Daphnia pulex: one gene and its partner. The protein of the gene in region 1 interacts with the protein of each later gene in a biochemical or structural test. Links are inferred from orthologs where the notes say so. Each region holds a gene or a part of one and is shown in the gene's direction. Other genes may lie near its edges.

Region 1 (3,927 bases):
ACGACGATCGGAAATCAGATCCTGGTGAGGTCATTTCTCCTTTATTTTCTAAATCAAATCCTCATAAGCTGTTCCTGGATTCACTAGAAGGCGACATCCGGTATTTATAAGGTTCTTGGGGATGAAGCCCGACGTAATCCTAATCAAATAGTTGACAATCCTTTCAAGTTGACCGCAACACTGGAAACTGGACGCTACGCTTATCCTTATGTAAGTGTATAAAGACAGAGATTAACATGATCAATTTTTGAACTTTTCTGTTTCATTAGCTGCACTCTTTATGCTATGCCTTTGTCTGTTCTCAATATGAGAAAGACGGGATGTGTCGCTTTAAATTATCGAAACTTTTGCCCGTTTCCATTGGATTTACGTCTTTGTTTTTTAAAAAAGGAAGTTTGTTTACTAAAGATATGGACAAAGGGTATGTAACCATTTTAAACACCCTAAATTTTTACATCTTGATTTTTTATTTATTTATTTCAATCCTAATATATTTACAGACTTATGGAACTGTGGGAGAGTGGACTTGTCCGTTTATGGATTAATAATATTCATTCTACTCCCAAGGCGAAACAGTGTTTTGCCGATACGAAACGTGGAGTCACCCGCGTAGTCCCCATTCAACTGTCGGACTTAATTAGCGCTTTCTTTATCCTTGCTATCGGTATTGGATTGGCGACGCTGAGTTTCTTACTGGAAATAATCCTATCAACATTACGTCGAGAGAGGCTTTAGTTAATTTAAGCATTTATTGCAGCAGGTATGTGCTGCACTACATCAATAGGGCACGTTGTGTAGTTTCTAATAATAGTCTTTTCGTCTAATAATATCCTCTTTTATATATTTATATATACGTCTTAAACAACCTTTACCGAATTTTAATCCGTTTTTACTTCTCCTCCTGGGGCATGCGAACGTTTTTAGCTTAGTCTTGTAACTCCTGATACGAATTAACTAACTAGCAGTTGATTTGCTAGAATACACATTTGTTTAAAAGTTTGATTGTCTCAAGAAATTTTATTGGTTGCTACAGTGACTAAAAGAGGCAAATTTAATGCTGCCCAACGGTAGGTCGGTAGGTAATGAGGAAAGACAGGATAAAGTTTATTACACGTGAAGCTCAAGTTATCGTCGTAATTCAGTAATTGTAATGGAAATAATTTTGAAATCGTAATAAAAGGCCTAGCTTCTAAGATATGACAACGAAAATCACTTGATTGCAATCCTGAAAAATTTGGTTGGTATGAATTTGGTTCATGCGTTGGTTTTTATCAGAGAAAAAGAAAATGAGGAAGAAAAGGCTCAATTTCAAATTTTGGCGGTAATTTTTTCTCAAAGGTTTAGAATTTCAACACTAGATGTCGTTTGCGTAAAGCTTTTTATCAAACATTTGCTGTCGTCTGCCTAGTTGCGTGACATTTTTTATCGGGTTAACTAACTTTGTTATTGAATAAACGGTGAGACAACAATCTACCTTCAAGTAAGAAGCCGAATCACAGCACGTTATACGTTTACTGATTTAATTGTCCCAACAGAAAATGAACTCTGACGATGAAGACAGAGACAGCAGTAACAGAGATACTTCATCGATGTCGGACGAAGATTCTGATACCGACATAGCCACAGTTCTTACCCAGCTCATCAGGAGGTTAGTTAGTTATCCCTTCATGATAGTAGAGTGGCTTGCAGATCATCTTAATATTCAACAATTCTTTCCCTTTCTGGGAAACCACAGTGGCCGAGCTCACATTCTTTCAGAAAGAAACTCAGTATTTGAAGAAAGAAACGAGTCTTTCTTTGATTTCCTTCCAAATGCCCAACCACCCCCTGTTGACAGCACACCTGATTTAACTGTTCTTGAGGTAAAATGAGTTTGTTTAGACATAACAAGAAGGTACCTCTTTTTAATACCAGTTTTTCTCTAGGGGACTGATTTGTACTTATCAACATCTCTATCATCAGGAATCTACAAGCACGGTTGCAAATCCCATTCCACTCGTGTGACATCACTACTGTACCAGCGTCAAGTAGGGATGAAGGGTACAGGGCATTTTTCTGGTGGAGACAGGAGCTATATTGGCCACAACTATTTGCCTAACAAATTCAAACAAGTTGCCAACTGCAATCACAAAATGTTTTGCGGGACATATTCTAAAGATGGCAATATTTTCCTCAGCGCTTCACAAGGTATTACAATTGACTTTGTGTTGCGCAAGAAAAGATTTAATCTTTGCTTTTCTTCAAATTCATAGATCGAGTTATCCGTGTGTTTGACACATCAAAAGGCGGATTTGATTGCATAAGGAAAATCCCCGCCCGAGATGTCGGATGGAGTATTCTAGACACAGCGTTCAGTCCTGATGGACGTTCCATCATTTATTCTAGTTGGTCGGAAGCCAGTAAGTACCTTGAAACATAATTCGACTTAGTAAAAATGTTGTTAATGCGTTTGGTTCCATTTTCAGTCCACCTTTGTAACATTTACGATGAGGTGGAAAGACATGAAGTTCTCCCACTTTCCCCGGAACTCCGACGGTTTTGTATTTTCAGCCTTACTTTTTCTCAAGACGGAAATGAAGTATTGGGTGGTGCCAATGACGGCTGTTTGTACATTTACGATTGCGAAAAACGACAGAGAACGCTCAGGGTAAAATTACTATTTTGTTTCGTACCCACCAACAGTCCTTAATTAACCTCCCATCTTGTTTAGATTGATGCCCACGAAGAGGACGTGAATACTGTGGCCTATGCTGACGAAACTTCGCAGATCCTATTTTCTGGAGCGGATGATGGATTATGCAAAGTTTGGGATCGTCGAACGTTGGCGGAAAACGGAGAGGCTAAACCGGTGGGCATTCTTGGTGGCCATGTTGACGGACTTACGTTCGTCGACTCGCGTGGAGATGGCAGACATTTGATTACAAATAGCAAGGACCAATCCATCAAGCTGTAATCTCAATACTTGTTTTATCTATCGTAAAAAAAAAAACATTTAAAAAATGTGCGATTAATTAGATGGGACATGCGCAAATTCTCAGGAAACGAAGTTCAACAAAAGACTAGAATGCTTATGAACGCCCAAAGTTGGGATTATAGTTTCCAAAACGTTCCGTGGAGGCGTAAGTTAACTTTTTGTTATTGTTTATGTTTAAAATCTCAACTGAATTATTATTCTTTGGCAGTGGCTTCTCCCAAAAACAAGATCGCCGGTGATACTAGTTTGATGACATACCGCGGACACAGTGTCTTAAGAACTTTAATCCGATGCCGTTTCAGTCCAGCATTTAGCACTGGGCAACGATATATTTACAGTGGTTGTGCAGCTGGAAAAATTTTCAGTGAGACCCCAATAACCTAGTATTATCAATCTAAACCAATTTAATTTTTAAATATTTGCAATTTTAGTTTATGATGTCCTGACTGGAAAGCCTGCAGCGATTCTGACTGGTCATTCTGAATGTGTTCGGGACGTCTCTTGGCATCCATACTCCATGGATATTATCGATTCAGCGGTATGAAATATTATTTCTAATTTTTCTCTATGAATTCCCAAAGTTTAATCAACCGGGGTAATAGTGGGACGGCCGACACTTCAAGTGGTTCCATTCCTCAGCCGATTCCGAGGACGAAATGGATTTGGACACGGAAGAGTACATTACCGACAGCGAATCCAACGATTCCAATCCTAATTGGATGCAGAGGCAGCGCCGCTCATATCGAGATGACGACGCGGCTGATGGCGGAGGTGATCGCGAAGTGCGTAGGAGTCCACGACTGGCCGCTCGAGCAACTCCACAGACGGCCCGGAGAACGTCACAGAGGCAGCGACAAGCAGCCAGCCGCCGCCCTCTTTCATAAGTCTTGTCCGCACCATATATCCTTTAATACAACACACTTGTTTCGAAACACTTCATAACTACAAAAAAA
Region 2 (3,695 bases), on another chromosome or scaffold:
GGAATTTCTGGTAGGCTGACATTGCTGCATGGAAATGAAAAGTTGGCATACAGAGAATTACAATGCAGTAATTGAACAAAATAAACCTTTTGGGTAGTCTTCAATGAGAATGTTAAAATGGCCCAATTTGCAGTAGGTTTTTGGATCAATATTGATTCCCTTCTCTGGGCTATCTGATTCATTTTTTAGCTGTTGGTGAGCTTGACTCAGCATCCGTTCCAAATACTGAATTGCCTATAATTCATCATAGTTGAGATTTTTCAATTACAAAGAATATGAACTTAATCTTACAAACCTTCACTACTAAAACTTTCTTTGCAGCATGTTCAGGATTGTTGAGTTGCAGGAAACCATACTGACGGCTGAAACAAAGTAACGGTGTGAAAAAAACAACACAGATTTTTTTAATACAATGCAATATACCTATCAAGTTCTGATAAAATTTGAAGCTCCTGTGGAGTCAAGTTGATATCTACAGTATCTTTATCTTGTTGCGTTTGTGTCATCTTCATTGACAACCTCGAAATCGGGCAAGGGTAATTCAATCCAAATTTTCAAAACGAAACGCCTATCGTTAGCGTCGATCGGTGAGCAAATGAGCTACAACTTGAAGAAAAGTTCTTCGATTTTTATCCACAAAATATTAACTCCTTTCCATCAGATAAAAACTTTTGGCATCAATCTTGATTTAAAACACAAAAATATCATCATAGTTTTTATAAAAAGTTATTATTTTTTTTTGCAATGACAGCCAAAACAGACACAAGCCTAATGCAGGGTTGCCTCTGTATAAAGTGTAAAAGTGTAATTTCTAAAATTGAACATCCTTATTCATTTAGGATTTGTTTGGTGCATTCGTTCAAACTGGATAGTTAATTTTTTAAATGGAAGTACTATTTTTTTATTGGGTATAGGTTATATTTCTTGATAATTTAAGATGCTGTGGCACTTGTGGAGTTGTGGGTGGTTGTGGCCTTGTATGTATGCTGCATGATATGGGAATTTGAGATATTCTAATTTCTAATTTCCGACGGGTTATCGTTTCAAATGCCTTTTTGCTCGTGCGGCTTGATTATAAATCTAATTAAAAGTATAATTATCTTAGATGTACATGTATAATCTTGCCTAACTATAAGGTGTTGAGAAATGAGAAGTGATGGATATGTAGTTATGTATACTTGTTTTTTGTACCCTAGTTCGGGCGAGCTCCCGGCTCCGGGAATAAGTCTCATCCGGCCGTATGATCTTTCGTTGACCTTGCGAATATTAGAAATGCGAAATGCCTATTTTTAAGCAATAGAGACTGCTTTCTTATCGTCTTTAACATCTACCAGGGTTTTAATTTCAGATGTTTTGCAAGGAAACTTAGCAACATTTTGGAAGTCCATGGCCTTATTAACCTGGCCACAGATAAAGACCACGTCGTCTTTATCTATGACCTGGCCTTATGGGAGTTATGGCCATGGATGGACATTTTGTAAAATAAAAATAACACTAGAAATGGATCGGGGATTCGGGGTTATAGATGTATTTAAAATATTTATAAACTTATTCTGGTTATATTAGCACTATGTTAGCACTCTGGCTGGCATGCAGCTGAATGGAGCTGGTTAGCAACGCAGTTTGTAATCCATGTTTAATGTGGTTAGAAGTTGCTTCTAATTCAAATGGCGCGAGAAAACCCACCCCCCGCTTTATTTTCACCCGAGGCCGAGACAACAAAGTCAACAACTACGTGAACTGAATCACTGTTTGCTCTTTTAGAGTGTAAAAAGTAAAAACATTGTATTTTGTTGGGTTTTAATACTTATTTTTCTATAAGAAATTACTGAGCTTACAATGAGTCCAAGAAAAGCTGTTAAAACAGAAAAAAATTCTGATGGTGAAGAAACTGTGTCTGAAAAGACTCATCCTAGCACTCGTATGCTACGAAAACGCGAATGGGATTCTGCCAGGTATAAATGCTTGCTCATTAAATAAATTATCAGTTCCTGAAGAAACTAACCATATTTATTTTTTGTGGCTAAAGCATTATAAGTCCAGAGAGGGGTCCAGCTCAGAGGAAAGAAATCAAACGAGAAAACATGCAATTGAAGCGCTCTCTGACAACTTCTTATGCCCAAACAGAAAAGAAAAATTTGATTAAGACAGAAAAACAGTCATCTTCTGCTTTGGCGGAGTTAAAAACTGCAGTCAAAGATGAGAAAACTGAGGTTGAGGTTGAAGACACAAGTGACAGGAGCTCAACTATTTCCTCCAATGGTGAAGTTGAAGAAGATCCCCTAGTTCTGTCTCGAAGACAGAAACAAATTGATTATGGGAAGAATACCATTGCCTATGACAATTATCTCAAAACTGTACCCAAGTCAGTATTTTAAAGTTACATGTGCAAATCCAAACATTTCATACTAAACTTACAGAAATTTTCCATAGAAATAAAAGAACCAAGGAACACCCCCAAACCCCTAACAAGTACAAAAAGTACAGCCGAAGGGGCTGGGATGGATCCATTAAAGTGTGGAGGAAAATGTTGCATGTCTTTGACACATCTGATGCCAGTAACCCAAAGGAGAAAGAAAATGCAGCTGCTGCAGATAAAGATGTCGAAGACGTCCTTGATTACCTCCCTTTCGACCTAATCGACGACGACGTTGTTTTATAAACATGTTGTCTACACTCTTCATCATCGAATTTTATGTGAAATCTTGCGCCCGTTTATATTGCACTATTAAGAGTGACAAGCAGGTCTTAGTGTTAATTACTTTTGACAACTTCTTTTTTTTTTTTCTTAAGTTCGGCTGCCTAAAGAGCCTCTAATTCTTCGATAATTTTGTTCAACGATCTTCACCGTCTGTACCGTGAAATATGCACCTAATTAAACATGTTCGTCATATGCATTAGCATGTACCATTTATTTGTTACTTGTTTTCAGGTCTAATAGCATTGAGATCATTTTTGAATTGTCTTCCTCCATTCGTTTCTCTAGGCGGCCAAGTCGTTCCTCAATTCTGGCCATCATGCGTTCTTCCATCTCCTTAATTTTCTTGTCTATTATCATCTCGATACTGTCAACATTTTTCCCATCTTGATTGAATCCTTGCATTATTGAGGACAGCAAATGATTAGCGCCAGCAGATTGCCCCGAGAGAGATCGCATTGAAGGGGTAGCTTCCACCGTCACTGCAGAGATCCCATACACCCATACAGTTGTTGCTTCCTTTAGTTTGCAAAACTAAATAAGATGGGGGATATTTAAAATGGATTCAGACAACCTGGCAACCATAGTGTGAAATAGGAACAACCTTCAGAATTATTTCTGACTGCATCTTCTTCAGATCTATTCTGCATTCATACAAAGAAGTGCCTTCTACTTCTTCCAGAAGTTCCCCTCTCACTGTCATCAGATATTCTTCATACTGCCCATGTACTTCTATCATGGGAACCTTGAATTAATTAATTAATCAAAAGAATAATTTGGCAACAGATAAAAAGGAAGATAGATCTGGGCAATACCTCAGATAAAATTTGAAGGGCAGCAAATTTTCTGTTGTTTTTAAGAATAATTTTTAGTGTACAGGGGCCAGAGTCAGGATTCGATTGACTCATATTAAAGCAATTTTCAATACTAGTTTCCTCAGACAATTCAGACAATTGTTCCTTCCACAAAATTTTTGTTCGAACAGCATCAACATTTT

Evidence for each region.
Region 2: the proteins of DDB1- and CUL4-associated factor 11-like (region 1) and histone RNA hairpin-binding protein-like form a complex in vitro, tested with the Homo sapiens proteins (2 studies listed by BioGRID, with this or other methods). The link is inferred for Daphnia pulex from reciprocal best matches to the Homo sapiens genes DCAF11 and SLBP.

What each region holds. Positions count from the first base shown.
Region 1 is NC_060025.1:8,379,652-8,383,578, forward strand, and holds the start of DDB1- and CUL4-associated factor 11-like, read left to right. Parts: upstream 1-1,372; 5' UTR 1,373-1,480; intron 1,481-1,535; 5' UTR 1,536-1,538; coding exon 1,539-1,862; intron 1,863-1,925; coding exon 1,926-2,187; intron 2,188-2,252; coding exon 2,253-2,399; intron 2,400-2,465; coding exon 2,466-2,647; intron 2,648-2,710; coding exon 2,711-2,949; intron 2,950-3,015; coding exon 3,016-3,119; intron 3,120-3,182; coding exon 3,183-3,338; intron 3,339-3,405; coding exon 3,406-3,512; intron 3,513-3,576; coding exon 3,577-3,858; 3' UTR 3,859-3,927. Other genes in the region: glutamate [NMDA] receptor subunit 1-like, read left to right, coding at 1-24, 88-210, 270-421, 501-735. UniProt on the Homo sapiens protein: May function as a substrate receptor for CUL4-DDB1 E3 ubiquitin-protein ligase complex.
Region 2 is NC_060020.1:3,614,687-3,618,381, forward strand, and holds histone RNA hairpin-binding protein-like, read left to right. Parts: upstream 1-1,002; 5' UTR 1,003-1,839; coding exon 1,840-1,955; intron 1,956-2,029; coding exon 2,030-2,365; intron 2,366-2,433; coding exon 2,434-2,662; 3' UTR 2,663-2,897; downstream 2,898-3,695. Other genes in the region: lysine-specific demethylase 6A-like, read right to left, coding at 1-24, 87-234, 296-362, 424-512; uncharacterized protein LOC124192277, read right to left, coding at 2,912-3,232, 3,303-3,443, 3,514-3,695. UniProt on the Homo sapiens protein: RNA-binding protein involved in the histone pre-mRNA processing.